2 linked regions of the Drosophila melanogaster genome follow. The protein of the gene in region 1 interacts with the protein of each later gene in a biochemical or structural test. Each region holds a gene or a part of one and is shown on either strand. Other genes may lie near its edges.

What was found.
Region 2: of the proteins of faf (region 1) and par-1, one has a biochemical effect on the other in vitro, tested with the Drosophila melanogaster proteins (one study listed by BioGRID).

The regions. Positions count from the first base shown.
Region 1 is NT_033777.3:31,774,780-31,786,844, forward strand, and holds the start of faf (fat facets), read left to right. Parts: upstream 1-2,240; 5' UTR 2,241-2,403; intron 2,404-2,463; exon of another isoform or gene 2,464-2,785; intron 2,786-2,858; exon of another isoform or gene 2,859-2,972; intron 2,973-3,392; 5' UTR 3,393-3,686; coding exon 3,687-3,979; intron 3,980-4,580; coding exon 4,581-4,729; intron 4,730-4,783; coding exon 4,784-5,997; intron 5,998-6,123; coding exon 6,124-8,037; intron 8,038-8,139; coding exon 8,140-9,505; intron 9,506-9,563; coding exon 9,564-9,987; intron 9,988-10,052; coding exon 10,053-10,368; intron 10,369-10,435; coding exon 10,436-10,589; intron 10,590-10,652; coding exon 10,653-10,803; intron 10,804-10,865; coding exon 10,866-11,174; intron 11,175-11,237; coding exon 11,238-11,349; intron 11,350-11,409; coding exon 11,410-11,519; intron 11,520-11,578; coding exon 11,579-11,930; intron 11,931-11,988; coding exon 11,989-12,065. Other genes in the region: CG2126 (uncharacterized protein), read right to left, coding at 572-723, 780-914, 969-1,141, 1,205-1,417, 1,470-1,603, 1,666-1,773. UniProt on the Drosophila melanogaster protein: Ubiquitin C-terminal hydrolase involved in development and the imd/NF-kappa-B (IMD) signaling cascade. Required for eye and embryo development, and plays a role in compound eye assembly and oogenesis respectively.
Region 2 is NT_033778.4:19,463,106-19,475,498, forward strand, and holds the start of par-1 (par-1), read left to right. Parts: upstream 1-4,360; 5' UTR 4,361-4,536; exon of another isoform or gene 4,537-4,708; intron 4,709-5,684; 5' UTR 5,685-5,865; coding exon 5,866-7,233; intron 7,234-7,491; coding exon 7,492-7,707; intron 7,708-7,766; coding exon 7,767-7,987; intron 7,988-8,103; coding exon 8,104-8,385; intron 8,386-8,446; coding exon 8,447-8,640; intron 8,641-9,713; coding exon 9,714-9,826; intron 9,827-9,890; coding exon 9,891-10,074; intron 10,075-10,334; coding exon 10,335-10,449; intron 10,450-10,507; coding exon 10,508-10,635; intron 10,636-10,699; coding exon 10,700-10,862; intron 10,863-11,422; coding exon of another isoform or gene 11,423-11,536; intron 11,537-12,393.

The sequences.
Region 1 (12,065 bases):
TCCCAAAAAAAAAAAAAATGTGCTTGCGTTTATCACACTTAATTCTCTTGGCTGGTATTGATTTCCTTTATACTTCGCTCTTCATCTGCTGCACCTTGTCCTTGACTTCTGTTATTTTTTCTACGATATGGGAATATTACGACGATGACGACAAAGACGACTACGATGCCTCCGACTTCACACACTGGAACGAAGGATCTGAACGTGAAACGCGAAATGCGGCATCCAAATCCAATATGTAGCAATACGTATTGTGTAAAAACTATTTTAGAGATGGGAAACTGATGATTTGTATTTAATATTACTATATGTGTATAATTAATGTGAAATATAATTAAAACGAAAAGAACGAAGAATGAATTAAGCTTGTGCGACGAAAACACTAAATAGACCTGCTCCTAAATTTGTTTCTCAACGGCTTTTAGAGCCGCAATTATACTCGGAACAGGTCTGAGTCTGAGCTACATACTAAATGTAAATAAATTAATTGACGCGTACACTACACATAGATAACAACAGTCGATCGACGAGTTCCCCGGGCGTGAAAAATTTGCATCTGGACGTCGCCGCATCAAATTCTCGACTCCAGCTCCCGGAACTCGGCAGGATCCGTGAAACGTACGGTCAAAATATAGAACAGTGTGGGGAAGGGCACCAAGCACATAAAGGCATAGTGGTAATTCAGGGAGGTGAGGCCGTAGGCCAACAACATCCAGTGCACAGCTGGGAAAGTAAGCTGCTGGTATACTTTATGTATGGTGAATGCGCACTTTGCTTACCTATGATGACCACGTTTTTTAACTCCCACACCGACGAGTGAACCAATGCCTTTAGGGTTTGATCCAGTTTGAGGGAATAGTGGATGGCATTGGCTACCATGGATATGGCCACGCTAAGGTACGGAAAGGAGTAATCTGAAAAAGAAAAGATCTCAAGACCAAAATATTAGCAAGCACTTAAGTACTCACAGATCAACCCACATCCTAACGCATGGATAAAGGTGAGCAGGGGCAGGAAGTAAAGAGCCGAGTAAATCGGCGCCTTGCTTCTGCCCCCCACATCCATAATTTTGCTGACTAGCGGGCGTATGAGAAACATGTTCACCAGGCACAGAAAGTAGAAAACCAGCACGATGGTTTGCCTGGAAATTGAACATTAAAGTGACTATTGTGAACACCTGGAGCCTTGGGTGGCTGGGTCTTACAATGGGTAAACTGCCTCCTGGGTGCAGTAGACTCGTGCCTCATAATTGGGGCTGGGGTTGTAAAACAATGTGTACCAGTCAGTAAGTTTTCGAACATCACAGGCGTAGAGGCGCAGCTCCCACATGGGCTCCATTAGCAAGGTGGCGAGGATGGCAGATATGGCAACCTCAACGAAAGCGCTGGCCGTCAAGATCAGCTGCTTCCGCGAAAACCTATGTGAATTCACTAAGTAAGTTCTTCTTCCAGTTTGATTAGTTCACTCACTTGCGATCCTTGGCGTCCATGTCAATGAAAAAGCAGTGCATCATAAGTGGCAGCATGGTCATGAATCCCAGGTATAGCCAGGAGTACGTGCTTAACTCGTCGCGGCATGGAGAGCATGCGTAACTTTGGTTCACCTGAACAATATAAAAGTAAATTATTTTCCAGGCGCCGTTCCGAAGGATGCTAGAACATTAACCCGAGATCCTCTGGGACAGACCCCGCAGCTGCTCCAGCTGTTGTTTCCTAGCGGTGATCGCCCACAGTAGGCTCCTGGGCAGCGTTCCAACGCGTCGTACATTCTCATGAAATCAAAACAATTACTTCGTATTGTATATTACATTAAACAAAATAAAAACAATACTCCTATCGATATCGGACTTATCGTTATCAGTAGGACCACTGAATAAACGAATAGGTTGTTCGTGCACTTAAATTAATACTAATTTATAAAATGATAATACATCAGAAGCACATGCGAAATGTATTAAAAATAAGGAAATTATTTTCTACAGATTATATAATGGGCCCTAAGACTGCTTTCTAATTTGATCAAATTAATAATACTATATGTTTTTATATATTTATTTACAATTAAACATGACTAGTAGAGTGTACATTCTTACAGTGCATTTCAATGATTTGATTTTATTTGAAATCCCAATTGCCAGAAATTTAAATTTAGGGTCCCTTATATGTACCACATAAACCAGTTCGATAGGCGCGCTTTTGGCATGGCCTGATAACTCTGGTAAAAAGCACCGCGCGAACCGGTTCAATTCATAACTAGTTCGCCCGAACTGCACAACCCTAGCAAAAGAAATAGCTTAAATATAATTTATTTAACGCGAATTGGACAACGAGCGGGTAGAAAAAACCCTGTGGCCGCAACCGCGACGCTCGCAGGATACGCAGCTCTTCGCCGTCGGGCAGGCAGGTAAAAAGCAATGGCAATTGGAGTTGACCGCAGAACAACAGCAACGGCAGACGCCATTTTGTCTATTGGCCGGCTGATTTGTAAGCTCAATATTCGCGAAATAGTTACCGCGACTAGCTTCGAGTGGCGCAGCCAAGTAAGGGCTCCCCGCTGTCCAGAGCAAAGGCGAAAGGAAGAGCAATCGCCCATTTTGAGGCCTGCGAAAAGTTGGGACTCGGTCGTCAGTTCGCTCGATTCCATTTGCGAAAAATAAATGTACGTGCGCGTGAGGAAGTGTGTGTGCGCGTGAAAAAACAGTGAAAAATAATAAAAAGCCGCACTGGCCGCCGTCCTTGGGTGACTTCCGTTAATCTCTTACAACTTTTAAAGCTATAGAAAGAATGTGAGCAATTTACCGCCCTCGACACACCCAATGAACCGCTAATTTTGGCATCTTTCTATAACTTTATGCGTAGTTATTTTCACCACCCTTCGCCTACACCCTTTCCCCGCCCCTTTTTCCACCAGTGGCTCCCACCCACCGACCGACATTCCGCTTAAGGATGATGCCGGGCGGAGAGAGATAGAGAGTGAGTGCAAAATCCGTAAACTTGGACGTGATGTAATTTTCGGCAGGAAAATGTTCTTTGTTTGCCCAAAAAAATAACAATAAATAAATAAGAATGAAGAGCGAGGCGTAAAACAAAAACAATTTTAAATTAAACTCAAACGCACACACAAAAAGAGAGGGTTCTGTGGGTGAGCGTGCGTGCGTGTGAGTGGGTGAGAGCGTAATTTGTGTGCTTTTGGAGCATTATTTGGCGCTTGCTGCCCCGTCTATTAAATAATATTGATTTTTCATATTCCAACCCAGCGCTCTCTTACACACACGCAGGACCACTCACACACCCAAAACTGAGCTTCGTACACATGTGGGCCTTTTCGGTCTCTCTCTTAGCGCTGTATTTATCCGCCTCTTATTGCCTCTTTCGCTTCGTTGCACTTTATAGATTTTTGCAAACTGGCCGCTGACCAGGCATTGGGAAAAAGGACAATAAGAGGGAGCCCAGAGCAAGAAGTCCAACTAACCGACCAACTGTGCCTCAAGAAACAGCAAATCAGCGGGGAACTCCCAAACTGGACAAGCAGAAGCCCGGATACCTCACATTTGCCATAAGACACCAGTCAAAAAACGACGCGCACTGCAGAACGCATTAGGATTAGCCCGGCACTAGAGCTCGTGCATTAACATCCGCTTCCGGTGCTCCGCAGAACGAGTTGGCTGGAGAGGATACCCCGCCACCATGACGTTCGACACTCGTAGGCACACCACCGGACAGCCGGGAAGCACAGCGCCCAGCTCAAGCAGCAGCACCACCAGCACAACAACCACCACAACGAGTCCGGCGCAGAGTGCCGGATCAGGATCGGGCATAGGAACAGGCACAGGAACAGTCGCCAACTCGAGTCTGCCAGGAGGAGGATCAGGTAGCTTGGACGGCAACCAGGATCAACAGCCGGCCACAGACAGTCAGAGCTCTGATGACGTGGCCGCTTCCTTGTCAGCGAACAGCGTGGACAGCACCATCACAATAGTGTAAGTGGTCGTGCTGCCGTATTTGCATGACTCCGCCCAATTAGTCGGGTTTTGTGCGTAGCACCAGTATGACCGCCACCCCTAAAGATCCCCAACATTCGTGTGTTTACTTTTGCGTAGTAATTCTTCCACATGCATTCTTTGTTTGTCTATGGTTGGGCCAGCACAATGTTCGTAATTCATTTAACTATGTTTCAGATGATTTTGGCCAGGCCACTGGTTAGTGACCATAAATGTGGCAATAAATGTTATCTTTCTTTTTCTTCGATAGGTGCACTTGGCTGCTGTCCAGTTTTAGCAATGAACTTACCAAGCTTTACTAATATTACCTTACCCGGCTATTACTATCTCATTTTGAATGCCCGTCCACGGCCTATCTTATCGCTTGTCCATCAAAATAAGCTAACACTGAAAATTACAAAAAAAAAAAAAAAAAAAATGTATGCGTTTTGGCATTTATTTTAATAGAAATAACCATTTAATAAACAGAAATGTTTATGGAAGGGTGTGCTTTGATTGACCCCCTAAGAACTTTTTTTTTTATGTGTATTATTTAATTTGTTATTTTTAATATTGAATAATTGTCCATTTAATTAAATAGGCCTCCAGAGAAGCTTATATCCTCGTTTCCCACGACGAAACTGAGATCACTAACGCAAAAGATATCCAATCCGCGTTGGGTGGTGCCGGTGCTGCCTGAACAGGAATTGGAGGTTCTCTTAAATGCAGCCATCGAACTGACCCAGGCTGGTAAGTGTGTCCAAACGATTTATTTGATACCCTCTAAAGTCAATTTATTTGCAGGTGTGGATCACGACTGCGAGCCATGTGTGGAGTTTTATCGCAATGGACTGAGCACTTCCTTTGCCAAGATCCTAACCGACGAGGCGGTGAATTCGTGGAAGAATAACATCCACCACTGTATCCTTGTGTCTTGCGGCAAGCTTCTACATCTAATCGCCATCCACATGCAGCGAGACAATCCCTATCTGCTTGACTTGCTGGCTATTGTTTTTGATCCGGAGAACAAGTTCAACACATTTAACGCAGGCCGTCAACCGGAGTGCTTCGCAGCGCCGGACTACATCTGGGGTCAGTTGGACAGCAACAAAATGTACGCCCGTCCGCCGCCGGAGCCCAAGAATGCGCGTGGCTGGCTTGTGGATCTTATTAACCGCTTCGGACAGTTGGGAGGCTTTGACAATCTACTGGAACGGTTTAACATCGGACTGGAACTGCTGAAGCGCAACCAAAACAAGTGCACTGGCAAGAATATTAGTGTCGAGGGTAGGGTTGAAAATGGGGCTCAGGATAATCGCCTCACCCTTGCCCTCATACACAGCCTCTTGCGTCCATTCGGTCAATGTTATGAGCTTCTAATGCCTGCCACTATAGCCAAGTACTTTATGCCCACCTGGAACGTTGTGTTAGACCTTCTGGACAGCTTCACAGACGAGGAGTTAAAGCGAGAAGTGAAACCTGAGGGACGCAATGACTACATCAATGGGATTGTAAAGTCAGCCCGCTTACTGGCCAGCCGCTTGACTGGCCAGGAGGAGCTAATCCGAGATCTTGAGATGTTTCGCCTAAAGATGATCCTGCGTCTGCTGCAGGTGTCCAGCTTCAACGGCAAGATGAATGCCCTTAATGAGATCAACAAGGTGCTCTCCTCGGTCGCATATTTCTCCCATCGATCCCAACCTTTGCCCCACTGTATGCCCGAAGACGAAATGGACTGGCTGACGGCGGATCGCATGGCGCAATGGATAAAGTCGTCAGATGTATTGGGTGTCGTGCTCAAGGACTCGCTACACCAACCGCAGTATGTGGAAAAATTGGAAAAGATCATCCGCTTTCTTATTAAAGAGCAGGCACTAACGTTGGATGATTTGGATGCAGTTTGGAGAGCGCAGGCCGGCAAACACGAGGCAATCGTGAAGAACGTTCACGATCTACTGGCCAAACTTGCATGGGACTTTACTCCCGAGCAACTGGATCACCTCTTCGAGGCGTTCCAGGTGAGTTTTCTGCTTTAAAAGTGTATTAAGTAAGTTTAAGTTTTAAATTATGATTATTACATTTTCCGCGATGGTTTGTATATAAAATCTCATGAACAATGAAAACAATATTAATTTTTATTTCAGGCCAGCATGACCACTGCCAATAAGCGGCAACGGGAAAGACTTCTTGAGCTAATACGCCGCTTGGCTGAGGATGACAAAAATGGTGTGATGGCCCAAAAGGTGCTTAAGCTGTTTTGGACTCTGGCCCACAGTCAGGAGGTGCCGCCAGAGGTGCTTGATCAGGCGCTGGGCGCACACGTTAAAATCTTGGACTACAGCTGCTCGCAGGAGCGGGATGCCCAAAAGACCATTTGGTTGGATAAGTGCGTTGACGAACTTAAGTCAGGCGATGGATGGGTTCTGCCCGCCTTGCGTCTAATCCGGGATATTTGTTGCCTATATGATACCACGACAAATCATGCCCAGCGCACTCAAACGAGTACGAATCGTCAGCAGGTGATTGAACGACTACAGAATGATTATTCCTTGGTCATTCTGGTCACCAATAGTTTGACTGCATACATGGAAAAGGTACGCCAAATGGTAACGGACTCACCAGGCCTGGATGCAACCAGAATCCTAATTGACGGAAGATTTCCGCATCACGTGCAAATAGCGGAGCGACTGGAGTTCCTTAAGTTCCTGCTGAAAGATGGACAGCTATGGCTGTGCGCAGATCAGGCAAAGCAGATTTGGCATTGCTTGGCGGTCAATGCAGTTTTTCCGGCAGATCGTGAGGAGTGTTTTAGATGGTTTGGCAAGTTGATGGGTGAGGAGCCTGACTTGGATCCTGGCATAAACAAAGACTTCTTCGAGAACAACATCCTGCAACTTGATCCGCATCTACTAACCGAAAGCGGAATCAAGTGCTTTGAGCGCTTCTTTAAGGCTGTCAATTCCAAAGAGGACAAGCTGAAGGCGATACATAGAGGTTACATGCTGGACAACGAGGATCTAATAGGAAAGGACTACTTGTGGCGGGTCATTACAACTGGAGGCGAGGAAATCGCCAGCAAGGCCATTGATCTACTTAAGGAAGTGTCGACGGCATTGGGCCCACGTCTGCAGGAGAATATCGCAGAGTTTCATGAAATGTTCATTGGTGAGTGCTGCTCCCGCCTGCGCACACACTATGGAAATATCGTTATATTGGGCAAGACGCAGCTGCAAGAGGAATTAGATGCCCCCGATCAGTCGGATAATACCAACGACGAGTCTAAAGATTCAAAAATGCGTTTCATCGAGGCGGAGAAGATGTGCCGAATTTTAAAGGTGCTGCAAGAATACGTAAAGGAGTGTGATCGTTCTTTCAGCGGCGATCGTGTTCACCTGCCACTTAGCCGGGTTACACGGGGCAAAAACACCATCTTATATATCCGCTTCCAGAACCCTGGCAGATCTATCGACGACATGGAGATCGTTACACACAGCAACGAGACGATGGCCGCTTTTAAGAGAAATCTACTTAAGCGAATCAAGGGAACTTCGACGGCCAACATAAAGGTTGATCTCTTCTATGCTAATGACGAGATGATCGGGGTTTCCGATGAAATAAACCCACTTTATCAGTACACTATCCGGGATAAGATGAATCTTACAGCAAAACTCACGCCCGTGGGTACGGGTCTAGCCAGCAGTCCCGACTCCTCGAGCGACTCGAGCACAGGATCTCCTCCGCGTCCCTGCCCTGACATGCAGCGTGTGGAGTCAGAAAGCACGCTACCCGGTGTGATCATCTCGCAAAACTACCAGTACACAGAGTTCTTTCTAAAACTGTACCAACTGGGCAGTGATCTCGAGCACGGTCGTCTTCGAGACAGTGCAAAAGTTTTACTACACCTGCTTCCCTGCGACCGCCAGACGATCCGTCAGCTAAAGATTATGTGCAAGGTGCCGAAGGCTGCCGTAACGGTGGCTGTGACGGGTGACAAGATCGCTAAGGATGAGGAGGAGAAACTGTACCCCACTGAGCAGGCGGGGATTGAAGATGAAGAGGTAAGACTATAGTTAGTCGAGTTAGTTCATTCAGGAAAGCTATAATGGTTATTTAATTTAAATTGTTTTCTGTATCAATCTCTTAATATCTCTTCTTTTTAGGAACACTGCACGCCAGAGCAAATGTTTTTGCACCCCACACCTGCTCAAGTGCTATACAACCTTAGTGTGTTGCACGGACTGCTGATTCCCGCGCTAGATCCACTAGGAGAAAGTGCCCTACTAGTGCAGTCTGCATGGATGCATTCTGGCTGCGCTCATTTCGTGCTGGAACTGTTGACCAAAAACAATTTTCTGCCTAGCGCCGATATGCACACAAAGCGTGCGTCCTTCCAGTGTGTGTTGAGGTTGGCAAAGCTGTTCCTGTACATAGTTGGCAGTGTATTGTCTCGTGTAGGCGATGAACCCATGATCTGCGACCTTGACAACGGATCCCGTTCCCAGGTTGACATCCTGAAGCAGAACTTCTCCACGATGCCCAGTAGCTCACAGGGAACATTGAGGGCGATCTCCGCGAAACTTGCTGTGATCCTTGCCCGCGAGATGCTTTCAGCCAGCCCAGAAGGTGATCGGTGCCGAACGCTATTTAGCTCCACACTGCAGTGGTCATGTCCCGACATTTCAACCATTAAGGCGGTAGTGCAACTGGCCTGGGCCTCGTCTTGCGGAAATCTTCAGGCTCTAGGCAATAGTAGCGGCGACTTTGAAGACGAGGTGATCGTGCCGGACGGGCAAGACTTTAGCATGTGCAAGGAGGCGCTAGAGGTTCTCACCATTTCGTTTATTCTGAATCCGAGTGCCAACGAGGCGTTGACTAGCGATCCGAACTGGCCAAAGTTCATCACCTCCATTGTTCTGAAGAACCCGCTTCGCCACGTGCGTCAGGTGGCCTCTGAGCAGTTGTTTTTGGCTTCTACCTATTGCGCTGGGGATCGGCGACCGTTCGTATACATGGTTAACTTGCTGGTTGGCGCGTTGAAGACGCTGGTTCCCCAGTACGAGTCAACTTGCGCTGAGTTCTTCTCGGTGCTGTGTCGGACCCTTTCTTATGGATGCATCTACAACTGGCCGCTGCAGATTAGCGAGGGATTGTTAGGCGATGAGATTAAGTGGCTGCAACGCATTCGCGAAAACGTCCACGCCACCGGCGACACACAAGTGCATGAGGAGCTCCTTGAAGGCCACCTCTGCCTTGCCAAAGAGCTAATGTTTTTCCTTGGCGCCGATTCAAAGGCGCAGCTGAACGAGCTCATCCACGAACTGATCGACGACTTCCTGTTCACGGCCTCTCGCGAATTTCTGCATTTACGGCGTCATGGCAGTCTACGGCAGGACACCGTCCCGCCACCAGTTTGTCGCAGTCCGCACACAATCGCCGCTGCTTGCGATCTCCTCATTGCCTTGTGCCAGCTCTGTGTTCCTAATATGAAGCTACTCACCAATACACTTATAGACTTCGTCTGCACGGGTGAGTGTTGGAATCGTAAGATCATTTCATGATTAAATGTTTCCTCAATTTTTTGTAGATACTGATCCGTTGCGCGAATGGGATTACCTGCCGCCGGTGGGCGCCAGGCCAACTAAAGGTTTCTGCGGACTAAAGAACGCAGGTGCCACTTGCTACATGAATTCGGTGTTGCAGCAGCTTTACATGGTACCAGCGGTCCGGGTGGGTATTCTGCGAGCCCACGGCGCTGCCACCACCGACGGCGAGGATTTCAGTGGCGATTCCGATTTGACGGGAGGCGGTCTTGGATCGGCCCTATTCTCGGGTCCCGCTTCTGCCCTAGTCAGCCTCCCCTCGTCGTCGTCAACTATCGAAGACGGTTTGCACGATGTGCGAAAGAACTATCACGTTGTGATCCTGAAACATGTGCAGGCCATATTCGCCCACCTGGGCCACAGTGCGTTGCAGTATTACGTTCCACGTGGTCTCTGGACACATTTTAAGTACAAAATTGTTTCATTGATTGGCATCACAATGATATTAATATATTATAATTTTTGTTTGCTAGGCTACTGGGAGAGCCCGTGAATCTTCGCGAGCAGCAGGATGCCGTGGAGTTCTTCATGTCCTTGCTTGAAAGTCTCGATGAAGGACTTAAGGCGCTAGGCCAGCCACAGCTTATGAATGCCACTCTGGGCGGTTCGTTCAGCGACCAGAAAATCTGCCAAGAGTGTCCCCATCGCTACTCCAAAGAGGAACCATTTAGTGTATTTAGTGTCGATATTAGGAATCATAGCTCATTAACCGAATCTCTGGAGCAGTATGTCAAGGGAGAGCTGCTCGAGGGAGCCGATGCATACCATTGTGATAAATGTGATAAAAAAGTAATGTTCTCATCTCTGATATTCATATACAATTAATTTTTATTAACATCATTTTTGTGTCCAACAGGTAGTTACCGTTAAGCGAGTGTGCGTTAAGAAGCTGCCACCCGTGTTAGCCATTCAACTAAAGCGTTTCGAATACGACTACGAACGCGTCTGTGCGATTAAATTTAATGATTATTTTGAATTTCCACGTATCTTGGATATGGAACCATACACAGGTGAGTTTAACCGTAATTCCATACGTATATATCTTCTTATTGGATCTTCTTCTCCATGATCAGTGTCTGGCCTAGCTAAGCTAGAGGGCGAGGTGGTGGAAGTGGGTGATAATTGTCAAACAAACGTTGAGACGACGAAGTACGAACTGACCGGCATTGTGGTGCACAGCGGACAGGCTTCCGGCGGTCACTACTTCAGTTACATACTCTCCAAGTGCGTACCATAACAATGTTACAGTTTTTTTTAAGACTAATTCAATACAACACCTGCTCCAGAAACCCAGCAAACGGCAAGTGTCAGTGGTATAAGTTTGACGACGGCGAAGTCACCGAGTGCAAGATGCACGAGGACGAGGAAATGAAGGCGGAGTGCTTTGGCGGCGAGTACATGGGCGAAACCTACGACAACAATCTTAAGCGCATGCAGTACCGTCGACAGAAGCGCTGGTGGAATGCCTACATGTTGTTCTACACCCGCTGTGATCAAACTCCCGTGCAGTATGAACCCAGCGTGGAGCAGTTGTCACTCGCAGAAAGTCGAAACATGGTTTTACCATTGCCAAAGCCCATTGAGCGCAGCGTGCGGTGAGTGGAAATAGTGCTTGACCACTATACAGATACTTTTTAATTATTTTTTTTCGATTGCAGACACCAGAACATTCGGTTTCTCCACTCCCGCAGCATTTTTTCCGTGGAGTTCTTTAACTTTATCAAAAAGTTGGTCAGCTGCAATCTACTTTCTGCTCGGAGCAATAAGATCGTCAGTTTGTATTCAAGTGGTTTTATTTCCCGTTTAAAAAAACTATTATTTTTTTAACAGACTCCTGCTGCAGAAGAGCTTTCACTGCTGGGCGTCCAATTAGCATCGCAGTTTCTTTTCCACACCGGCTTCCGCACGAAAAAGTCTCTGCGAGGCCCCGTTATGGAATGGTGAGTAGCTTGGGAGGTATTGACTCGGGTATAATTAGGATACATCTTCTGCTTTACAGGTATGACGCGCTCTCACACCACATACGTTCCTCGGCACTAGTTCGCAAGTGGTTCGCTAATCATGCGCTCCTCTCGCCGCCATCGCGTTTAGGCGAGTACATTCTGATGGCTCCGTCTCCGGATGTCCGTACTGTCTTTGTCAAGTTGGTGGTTTTTTTCTGCCATTTTGCCATCAACGATGAACCTCTGACTGGCTATGACGGCGCTAATCTCTGCGAGCAGGTACTCATCAGCGTGTTGCGCCTCTTGAAATCCGAGGCAGCCGACTATGGCAAACACCTGCCCCACTATTTTAGCCTTTTCAGTATGTACGTGGGACTAGGAACACGGGAAAAACAGCAACTGCTTAGGGTGAGAACTATTTACAATAAGATTGCTTGCCATTCTAAACGATTATGTTCGTTTGCAGCTCAATGTGCCGCTGCAGTTTATTCAGGTGGCGTTGGATGATGGCCCCGGTCCGGCAATAAAATACCAGTATCCAGA
Region 2 (12,393 bases), on another chromosome or scaffold:
TTGTGTGTGTTTGTGTGTGTGTGTGTTGCAGTTCCAGTGAAATGTATCCAGCTTTTTTTGAGCCAACCACTTCAACTCGCAGATACATTGAGAAATGAGCCAATTGCGGGTGATAAGTTAATTTAATTATAAAGTACGGTATGACAAGAAATACAAAAAAAAAAAAAAAATGAAGAAAAACAGTAGTAGTGCAAGCGAAAAGAACGAAAGCGGAATGAAAAGGAAAAAAACGAACAAATTCCTACCCAAAACACACACGCGCAAAAGCAACAGTCGCTGTGCGCTAGTGTGCGTGTAAGTAACGCTTAAACGAGGTAACTAGCAGAAGAATAGCAACAACTACTGGACAGAGGGAAAGAGTGACACGGGGAAGCGTAGAGAGCGAGAGGGAATCACAGAAATAGCAACAGCAATGTGTGGGGCTTCATCGTTGTCTCTTTAACGCTTATTTTGTTGTTGTTGTTTTTGTTGCTGGTCTTCTACTATCTGTGTATCTGCGTATCTGTATCGGGCGTGCCAAGGCTTACGATCCACAAACCGCACAGCGACGGACTCTCAAATACACATTTAGCCATTCAAAAGCAAACCCAGCTGGAACGGTTGTGGAACTTATCGCGAGTGTCTTGTGTCCACAAAAAAAAAACGGAGACACTCACACGGAGAGAGATGTGTAAAGTGCGATAACTGATAAGAGACATGTGTTGTTATCTAAAAGCACCCACCCTTCACTTTTTAAAACCCCCTTACGCGTCATGTAAGCAACAAGTTTACAAATATCCTAGAAGAAAGCAAAGATAACATATTCTTCATGCACAGAGACACAAATATTTAGCAACACTTATTAGTCCCAATTTTAAACTTTTCAGAAAAGAATTTACAATTGTCATATAACCATAAATTTGTGAATGACAAGACTAGATACGTTCATATAAGATTCAAAGATATATGTGGTACTTTCATATTCAACAAGAAAATTTAGTTGTGCTATTCAAAATTCTCCATACCTTCTTTAACTGAATAAGCGGCTTGCTTAATGGACCTATCAGTTCTTATGATTGTTATTGTTTTACTCTGTGCATTGCGAATCCCAATTATTTGTGCTCAGTAAGATTGGCACGGTGAATGTGTTTGCAATTTAGTGACCGAGAGACTGTGACTTTTACTGCGATTGCTTCTCCAATGTTCACTCATTGTGCTCTAATAGAATTTAACAAGATGGTCTTTTCGAAATAAAAGCGACAAAGCTGCGCCTGAATTGTGATTGTTGTGCCACAAAATACACAAAACGAACAAAATTTATTCATACTTTTATGCACACGTATACGCGCGCATCTCTCAATGTTTACACACGAAATTCGCTGTGATAATTGCCAAAGCGAAGAACGAGGGAATATGTGTCTCAGTTTCGTTGCAACTGGGCCAATAATCCGTATACCGTGAACACCGAGTCGCGTCGAGAACGAAGAAATACCACCGCAACCCAACCACGAAACAACCAAGTGAACCACCCACCGCAAAACCACCAAAGCACCTACCATGGGCCAGACTTCCAGTCACCGGCAGATGCACCACAGTAGCAATAACAACAACAAGGAGGAACCACCACAACCGGCTTCACAGTTTGGAAATCGTCGAACCTCTACCCGCAAATCGACTTCGTCTTCGAAACATTACCCCACATTGGTGCAACCATTGCGTAAGGATGAGCTCTCTCTCCTGCGAGATTCACTTCTGCGCAATGGAAGCATTATGCGCAAGAACCCGGAACGTCGTCCGGTAACGATCAGTGAGCTGAAACCAGTTAATACCGGGCAGGGGACTTCGGGTAGTGTCCTGCCTATTACAGCAGAGGATGCTGCTGGTGGGAGCAGTAGTAGCATCACCCAACTAATGGCCTTCCAACTGCCCGTGGATCGAAGTGCCAAGACTGACGACCTGGCTGCCGAATCCTCGGCTTCAGCAGCAGCAGCTGTGGCGCCCAAGGAGGGGCGCAATGAGTTTTATATTGTGGGAGATGGCTATCATCGGACGGATCACTGCTACTATCGCAGTCCCAATGGCGATTTTCACAAACTGCCATCCGACTCCTTTCACAAGATGTCGGAGGGCTGTTTCGTCCGAATGGCCGATGGGGTCTTCCGTCGCCTGGAGGTACCCACCAAGGCTCAAATATCCCGAAGATCCAGCAGGGCAGAGGAAATAGGCGATGCCACAAGCCAGGGAAATGGAAGTGCCGCCACCAATGTTAAGAGCCAACTGATGAGATTTCTAAAGCGCTCCAAGAGCCACACGCCCGCCACTATTGCCAAGTTGCAGCGGGAAAAGGAGGAGGCCCGAGCGGAACGCAAGCAACGGCTATCGAACGCCCTGCGGCAGAAGAATCTAGCGGCCACAAATGCAGCCTCAGCTGCGGCGGCGAACTCATCCTACGCAAGCGGTGGTGGTGGTGGCACCGTAAGCAGTCGGAACAATAAGATTGTGGTGACAATGATCGAAAACGGCGGCTTGCCCATTGTGGCCACCAGTAAGGCGGAAAGGCCCAAGGCCAAGGAGTCGGCATCATCCAGTGACAAGGCTCGCAACTCGAGGGTATGTAATATTGGATATAAATTTATCGATATTATCGATGGTTGCTTACATTTTATCGAAATCCATCGACGGTAACGGTAACCCGTTAGATACTATTGCATAATTAATATAATAGAAGATATAGGAGGATTTATATTGGGAGCTTGCGATATTGGCAATTATGTGATTTAGAAACTTTCCTAGGCTCTTGAGCAAAACTACACTTGACCTTGCTACTTCATTTCAAAAGAGTGGGGCAATAAGGTTATATTTGTTGTGATTAAAGTTTGTCGGTCTCTCACACTTCCCCATTCATTTATGAACATTGCAAATTTATCGTTGTTGTGCTGCCACCTTCATTCAATCTAATCGTAATCGCTGTTTCGTTTTTGTCTGTATCTGTCACGGTTTTTGGTTTTTTTTCCACAATCGAATGAATAACGATTTCTATTATTTTGATTACGGATTTTGTTTAATTTCAGATTTTTGTTACCCCACATTGAATTCCTATAATCCATATGGAAACTAATATATATTTTCAGTCTAATCGCACAAGTGCTACATAAAAACCCAACGCAAATACGTTTAAAGATTAGGGGATTATAGGGATTACGGGCTCTCTGTTTCTATAACTATACGATTGCATTGTCCGGAGGACAAGTTCATAATAGTTGACCTCATTAGATTTTCCTGTTAGCTAGCATGCGAAAAATGAAATTCTATCTTTAATGTTTTTGTTTGGGACCTGAAAGGCTTGACTGAAATCTCGCTGTCTTGTCTTAATGTAGATTAAGCTGCAAGTTATTCAATTAGCTTAATTAATACGGACACTTTATACAGGCTCAGCTACTTGATACCTCGTATGAATAAATTAAAACCAAACTTGGCGAGTTACAAATTGACAGAATGATCGAATTTCATATGAGACACTTTTTGATATCTTAAAATGAGAGTTTCTCTATTTTCCAGATTATTTATTTTTAAGTATACCTAATGTGTTTCGTTTATGTCGTATCACTCGTGTCTCTATATATTTTATTCACAAATTTTATTGTGTCGGCTGACAAATGACTTACAATTATTTGACGACAAGATGTTCATAATAATGTTCTTTCGGGATTGCATTTTTAGTACCAAACTGTGTGTATTCCTCGGTCTTTGTATTCTGGTGATTGATATAGAGTAAAACAGGGGAACGGGGGAAGTTGATTAGTGAAATCTTCGCGACGACCGTAGAATTCCGACTCAGACTTCAGACATCATGTCCTTTTGGTTTTATTACTTAGAACTCTTACGTAATGCATCACCTAATCAACTGATTAACTTTAAAGGAAGCAGTTGAACTTATTGGGTAATTGATTGATTTTAATAGAAAACCAAAGTCCAACCGAATGTTACTTTAATCGCAGTAAATCAGGGAAGAAGCGCTTTGCGTAACTTGGTGGAACTTATATATTGCGCACATGCGCAGAACACTAAACCCTGCAGCAAACACGGCTAACAGTTTCTTTCCCAGCGTTACGCTCAGTGGTACTCGCACACTCATACACTCTCAAAACTTTCGAGCTCCAAACGGGGCTTCTCTTTGTGGGAGAACAAGTACACAGATGCAGATACGGATAGAGATACTGTATTAATGGTAGTAGTGCTCCACCAGTGGAGAGAGCTGCCCACTGATCGTGTGCTTGTGCTGGTGTGTTGGTGTATTAAGGCCGACGCCGCTGCCGCAGTCGACGTCGCTGCTCGAAGCGATTCCGTGCTTTTGGAATACTCCGCGCTCTCGCTCTCCGGCACTCCAGTTCCAGTTGCTGAGTGGCCAAGTGGCTCTTTGGCTGCTGAGCCCTGTTTAGCTTTGTTTTTCGGTGTCTTCTGTGTTTTGCTGTTTTTTGTTGGTGTAAATCGTATAGTTGTAGTCGTAGCCTGTCGACGACGTTTACGTCAGAGTTGCAGAGGAGGAGCTATAATTTAGTACGAATACCCAAACCCCCACGTAAAATGAGTGCGAAAAATTGCGAAAGCCGCGTGCCTCTGCGATAAGATAACCGTGTGTGGTTAAAGAACTCCTCCGGCCAACGAAACGAACCTTTTAATAATCGGGATTTGCGCGAAATGTGATTTTTTATAGTCCACAGACCAAGTGAAAAAAAAAGAAAGAAAATACTCACACACTATCAAACGACCAATGTATATAGCCTAACTGTGTTTTTCAGCAGTGAAAAAGTCGGCTCAATTGTCTAAAAGTAGTTCATTTGCTTCAATGTGTTGGTGCGACCGTGCATGTGTGTGTCTGTGTGTGTGCATTGGAGCTTTTCGCTTTGCTCACTGAAGCAGCGACGAATAAAAATGGAATATAACCAGCCAGCAACTAAACGACTCGTACGGACGAATTGTTCAGATACTTGTAGATCTCCACATCGTAACTATTTAGACAGTAATTAAAAGCAACAAAGGAAAATAGCGAAAAGGCAAATGAATCATAAAACTGAAAAGAGAGCGTGGGAGAGGAGGGTGGGGGTGGGGACAGGAAAAGCGTGACACACACACGAGAGAGAGCGAGGGCATCTCAGCTGAGCTTGTGCAACAGCAGTAGAAATAGGAGAGAGCAATTTAGAGAGAGACCGAAAACAAACACACGCACAAGAGCTCACCTCCACCACAGGTGTGTAGGTGCCACTTCGCTTTTCTCTCTCGCGCACTCTCTTTTGCTATGTATGTAATTGTGTGTTTAGGTATATTGCCCTCCCTTTCACATCCCCACATCGCCTGCCGTGTGTTTATTTCAGTGTCACCGGGGAGACAGATTAGCTCTTGTCCGCCTGTTGTCGTAAATATCACGCACACACGCTTCCCGTCCGCCCATCTGTACATACATATGTACATACGTAGAAATGGAAGTTGCTAGCTGTGTGTTTAATTCATTTTCGAGGTTTTAATGCGCAACAACTGCGACTTGTTGTGTGTTGGTTAGACGACAAAAAACAAACAAAAGTAACGTTGAGAATTTAGAAAGCCCAATGCAAACGAACGCACACACAAGCACTTACTCCTGTCGGTGTGAGCTGCATTGTACTTCCGAAGCCCCAAGACCAATTTAATAATTTTCCCCAAACTCACAGTGTAAGAACAATAAACACGCCAAGCGCAACTTGAAAAAGAAATAAGAAAAAAGAAAAAGTTGCGATCTCTCCGAGCAACAAGTACTTGTGCACCAACACACTCAAGGGAAGAGTGCCACGACAAAAAAATTTAAGAGAAAAAAAACAGAAAAACCGAAATCAGCAGCAAAACGGAGGAGCTATGGAGGCCACCACTACCACAACACCTGACTTGAATCGCGGCGATGCCACCAGGAAGAGTGTCCGGCTGTATGCCGCCCGCAAGGGGGCGGCACCTGCGCCGCCCAAGCTCAGTGTGGCGCCATCTAGTAACCAGAACAGCAACCACAGCAGCAACAACAACAATAGCAGCAGTAACTTGCCGGAAACGGAAAAGGAAATGGAACTGCGTCAAACACATCTTGCCAACAAGGATCTCGATGGAGCCACCGAAGACGACAGCATAGTGGAGCTTCGACGACGTGATGCCCAAGCCACTCCATTGCCCAGGATAGCCGTATCGGCTCTACCCACCCTACAGCCGCATCCCACGCCCAAAGAACGCCAAAAGCCGCCAATGCCACGCCTTCTGTCCACCGAAGACGATGCCGGTGTGTCCTTTGCCCTCGGCTCCATCGAGAAGCACATCCATAACGTGGAGGAGAGCTTTAAGCAACAGCAGCAAAACCAACAATCCCAATCATCGATGGACGTGATGAAACTGGAGATCAAGCGCAAGCAGAGCAAGCGCTACGGTGAAACGGAAAACCTTCTGCGACCGGGCATTAGTGACATGTCCTCCGAGAATGATTTTCAGTATTTGGGCGGCAGGCGGGCAGGAGAACTGGATGACAGCAATGAGCTGATGTTATCGGAATTCCAGCGCGGCAGCGATGGTCGTAACTCGATCGGAGCCTATTCCAAGAACTCGGCTGCTGCCGCAAACGGAGCAAATGCTGTGAAGGCTAAACTGGCACGTACTGCCTCCGATACGAAGAATAATGATACGGTGCTGGCCATGAGGGCCACTTTTAAGCAGAAGCAGCACTTGCAGGACGAGAAACAGCCAGCGGTATGGCGACCAGCTGGCACTGGACCCACTCCGGCGGCCAGGAGCTCCTCCTCCACCACGTCCACCTCCGGCTCGGCCAGTCGTGGCGGTAGCAGCAGCAGCGTGGTGGATGGAGTGGCTCCATCTAAGCTTACGGCCACTACCATTTCAGCGTCTAAGCGGCGTGAGGAGAATTTGCGACAATTTGAAGCTTTGTTGGCCCAAAAATCCTCACATCGTCATGGAGCATCTGGTGCCTCGGGAACAGGAAGTAATGCAGCCAGTTCGAAAAGACGTTCGGACCGGCCGATTGTGGCTCCTATTCCTCCGTACAATTCCAGTCGAGCAGAGCATGTGACCAGCTCGACCAGACACAGCGTTGATCCAAGATCCCATTCGGGACACGAGTCGAGGTCAGGAACAGCCTCAACTCACCCGCCTGTAGGACATCATCCCACTAGCCGCGTACCCAGCGTGGTGGCAAACCGCAGCAATGTGTACAGCAACAATGCTGCGCAGGTAAACGGGATAAAAACCAAAATCCATTTTTATCTACCATATTTCAATATAATTTTCATCATTTGGTTCAGAGAAAGCAATACCACTGTGGTTTAAAATCGCATTTAATATAACTATTAATCGTTAGCAATGCGGTTTTTAAAGGGTCATAAATCAGGATTGTCACAGAAATGTTGGGTTTTATATATAAATTATAACCGACACCTGATGCACACCAAAATACATAACTTTACTTACCCCTGACCATTGTTTTTACAGGGTTCGCCTAACATGCAAATGCGGAGTAGTGCTCCTATGCGATGGCGTGCTACTGAGGAGCATATTGGCAAATACAAACTCATAAAGACGATCGGCAAGGGCAATTTTGCCAAGGTGAAACTAGCGAAACACCTGCCCACTGGCAAGGAGGTCGCCATCAAGATAATTGACAAGACCCAACTCAATCCTGGGTCACTACAGAAACTCTTTAGAGAGGTTTGTACTTAGCTTAAAAGAATACCTTGACTTATTTACTAATCGTACTCTGCCCACAGGTTAGAATAATGAAGATGCTGGATCACCCCAACATAGTTAAATTGTTCCAAGTAATCGAAACGGAGAAGACGCTCTATCTGATCATGGAGTACGCATCTGGCGGAGAAGTCTTCGACTACCTGGTTCTCCACGGACGCATGAAGGAGAAGGAGGCGCGAGTTAAGTTTCGACAAATCGTCTCAGCCGTGCAATATTGTCATCAAAAAAGAATAATTCACAGGTAAGAGTAATCAATGCTAATTAAAATCAGATGATTTATATAAACAGGCTAGGACAAACCAAAGGCCCATTATTATAGTTGGCACCTTATTAACCGGAATTATTTATTTATAACAGGGACTTAAAAGCTGAAAACCTTTTGCTGGACAGCGAACTGAACATCAAAATCGCTGACTTTGGCTTTTCGAACGAGTTCACACCCGGCTCAAAGCTGGACACGTTCTGCGGTAGCCCGCCATATGCGGCACCGGAGCTGTTTCAGGGCAAAAAGTACGACGGACCGGAGGTCGATGTTTGGTCGCTGGGCGTCATCCTGTATACGTTAGTGAGCGGTTCCCTGCCCTTCGACGGCTCCACCTTGAGGGAGTTGCGTGAACGCGTGCTCAGAGGCAAATATAGGTAAGTGTTGCAAGATAAAATGAAAGTAAATGGAACTAAACCAAACCGCTTATCCCCACAGAATTCCCTTCTATATGTCGACTGACTGCGAAAACTTGCTCCGCAAATTCTTAGTACTGAATCCCGCAAAGCGTGCTAGTCTGGAAACAATCATGGGCGACAAGTGGATGAACATGGGGTTTGAGGAGGACGAACTCAAGCCCTATATTGAGCCCAAAGCCGATTTAGCCGATCCCAAGCGGATAGGTAAGACGGGTACTGTATACAAAATTTATTACTAATATTATTAACGAATTGTGTGTGGAATGGAGTTTTGCCTGCCAATTGCTCGTTGTGTTTTATTGCTGTTATCAAGCGATCTTTGTTTATGTAATGTAATACTACTAGTTCCTTTGTAAACTCTTTCTTTATCAACTTGTTTTCATTTTGTAGTTGAATGTTGCTTACAGAATTCCTTTTACTTGGGTTCTCCCAGTGTTGCGTTATCCTGATGTTTGTATTTTAAATTCAATTACCTTCATGGTGTTTTGTTTGTAAATTCTCACATAGCTGCGGGGTCACAAACCGGTGCCAAGAATTCGCTCTCGATTCGGCGTAGTGCGTACACCTTGATGTTAATGGTCAACTTTCTGATCGACGAGCGGAAGGGTCCACCTAAAAATGTATGCAATCTGTGTAGTGGAAACGTTAACGCTCGATCCCCAGAGTTCCGCATTAACCCCCAACTCTCTGTTCTCTTTCTCACTTTCTGTCCTCAAAATTCTACATACAAACAGACCGTCAAGGAAGATATCAAACCAGCTCAAGAGAACGGATAATCTTAAAATTAAATCAATCTTGAACAGCCAGCCAAGGGAAAATCGAATTTTTGTTGTATGATCTTGTTATCTTTTATTGATTTTTATTTTACTTGTTGCGAGTGTAAATATCTGCTGATATGTGCACAAATATACGAACAAACAAATAAATGAGGTTCTCTGAGATAAATTCGAGATTGCATCCGGTTTGGGTCCTGTCACGCCGATGATAATTGTATTATTTAATTTCGCTAACTGCATGATCTAAATACATACATATATACCTGATTTCTTTTTATCCAACGTTCTTACTGCCAATTGTTCAGTTGAAGGCCAAAAGAACACACAATTCCGGCTACTCGACATCGAACTATATCAGTTCGAGTATCGGTGATTTCATAGCCAAATATATAATGTAACTGTAATAAATTTGCATGCGTTACCTAATCGTATTAAAATCTCCATTGAATGTCTTTAAAAACCTTTCACTCACAATCAAATTGTCTGTCATTTTCGCATCGCGATGTTTAGAAGCTCTAGTCGCGATGGGCTACAATCGATCGGAGATCGAGGCTTCGCTCTCCCAGGTGCGCTACGACGATGTTTTCGCCACATATTTGCTGCTGGGTCGCAAGAGTACAGACGTAAGTTGGTGGCCTTCACATTCCGAACAACAGAAGTGCTAAAAGACTATTTCCTTCCACGCAGCCGGAAAGTGACGGATCGCGGTCTGGCTCCTCGCTCTCACTGCGCAACATCTCGGGTAATGATGCGGGCGCCAATGCTGGTAGTGCGAGTGTTCAGAGTCCCACGCACAGAGGAGTCCACAGGAGCATATCGGCGTCTAGCACGAAGCCAAGTCGCCGAGCCTCGTCTGGTGCGGAAACTTTGCGTAAGTCCCACTTTGGGGCTAACGATTCATCTATATTTAATCAAGAGTAAAAACTTTCTTGGTCGAACTACAGGATTAGGAAACCGACATTTGTACAGAAAGCTTAGTCTAACCTTTCCTTTTAAAATAACTAATCCGATATGCGCTAGTTAATCGTCAATCGTCAGTAGTTTTGCCCAAGAAATTTTTTACTAAGGTTAAACTTTGTGCCAATGTGCGGAAGTACCCATTTTAATGTACGATAAAATGTTTTTTTTTAGGTGTTGGACCGACAAATGCGGCAGCAACAGTTGCGGCGGCCACGGGAGCCGTTGGTGCGGTTAATCCAAGCAATAACTACAATGCTGCAGGATCAGCGGCGGATCGAGCATCAGTGTAAGTAGCTTGACAAATTATGTGCTATAAATTTTACACTTAAAATTGCCCTCGGCAGTGGCAGCAACTTTAAGCGACAGAACACAATCGACTCGGCTACGATTAAGGAGAACACAGCGCGACTGGCCGCTCAAAATCAGAGACCCGCTTCGGCCACACAAAAGATGCTCACCACGGCAGACACCAGTAAGTGCTAATATAATGATTGATGAAATGAGCAAAGAGACTAATATTAATACTGAATTCACAGCACTGAACAGTCCCGCCAAGCCGCGAACGGCAACGAAGTACGATCCGACGAATGGCAATCGCACGGTCAGCGGCACAAGTGGCATCATTCCACGTCGCTCCACCACGCTTTATGAAAAGACTTCGTCGACGGAGAAAACCAACGTTATTCCTGCAGAGACAAAGTACGTGAGAGTTAAGCTAGTTCTGATTATAAGTTCTAGTTTGAGTCTTAAACTGCTGTACGAGTTACCCAGTTATTGTTTGCATCATAACATTCCCCACTTGGCAGGCTTATTTAGTTGTTCAGTCAGTCGGTAGCGATGGAGCCTGCCACAATTATATATATATATATATTATTATATATATATAATAATATAATATATATACATATTATTTGCCTTTGGTTCGCACGCAAAACGATCTAATCTAATCAGATCGAATCCGGAGGTTAGATGGCATTTAGATACCACAGCAGCTTATAATCCCATCAATACAAAAACGTAGAGCAGATCGTTGGAAGATCGAACGACATTTAATTGTATATAGTCACGCACAGTTCAGTTCTCTTTAGTTGCCGTGCCTTGGGCACTCTCAAAAATTACTTGTTTATCATTTACCCATCGTTTCATTTGGTTATCTTAAAAAAACCGAAACTCTTTCCAAACCAAACCAAAACAAAGTCATACTTACGATTACGATTTTACCACTTTTCGGCCTAAACCTAAAACATGCAAATTACCAGCAGTGGATCGGCAGCTCCCGCTGGAAAAGGTCATACCAAAAGCGCGTCTGTCTCGAGCCCTCGCCCCTCTACAGACGGCTGCGTCTCGGTCTCAAATGACCCGCTCGGAACGAGGTATACACTTGAGTAATTAACAAAAAAAACGCAACAACCAAACAAACCAAATTCTCTTAGTTTGATTAACGCATTCTTTGAAATTCAACTGATTTCGGTTTCTTTTTTATTATTTAAAATATTGGCTGGCATTTTATTTGTTTGGGAGAATTATTGTGCATTTTGACAATCATTTCGCCGTTTCATCTTCATGAATCATTAACTCAGAAGCATTCACAAAGAACTTTGTTGACCCGTCATCGTAAAACAAAAACAACTAGACAGCAAGCACTTTTGAATCTATACATGACCATTGTTCCGTCTGAATCCCAATCTGCCTTTGATGTTTTGCAAAAGAAGTAGATACTAGATGAACTGGTTTATAAAAGTAACAGCCCCATAATAACATTATTACTTAAATGCTTAAAAATGTTACAAAAAGTGTTCAACTTTCTAGAGGTATTTGTTCTGTGCGTGATACATATGTTAAAACTTGGCTGTTGGTAACCATTACAAATTAATGGTTATGACCCAGGCTTAGATTTTTAAAAGCTTTGATTAAATGTGTTTATTTTACGACCTCGAATGGAACCCAGCGATGGTCGTTAGGCTAGTTACTAAGCATCTATTATTATCCGTATTTATAAGTATTTATTAGGTGTTCTGTTTGATTTGTTTACCGTTCACTCTTCTCTTAGTTTATAGCGTTGGCCTATCCTAGTTTTGTTCTATTCGTTTTGTATTTATCTATTTATCCAGTGTATTTATAACGACCTAACCAATTTGATCAATTGAATAATGTAAATTTCTTATCTTTTCATGTTTTTTACAATTTTGAACATTGTCTGTTTACAAACCAAATGTCTAATTTTGATAAC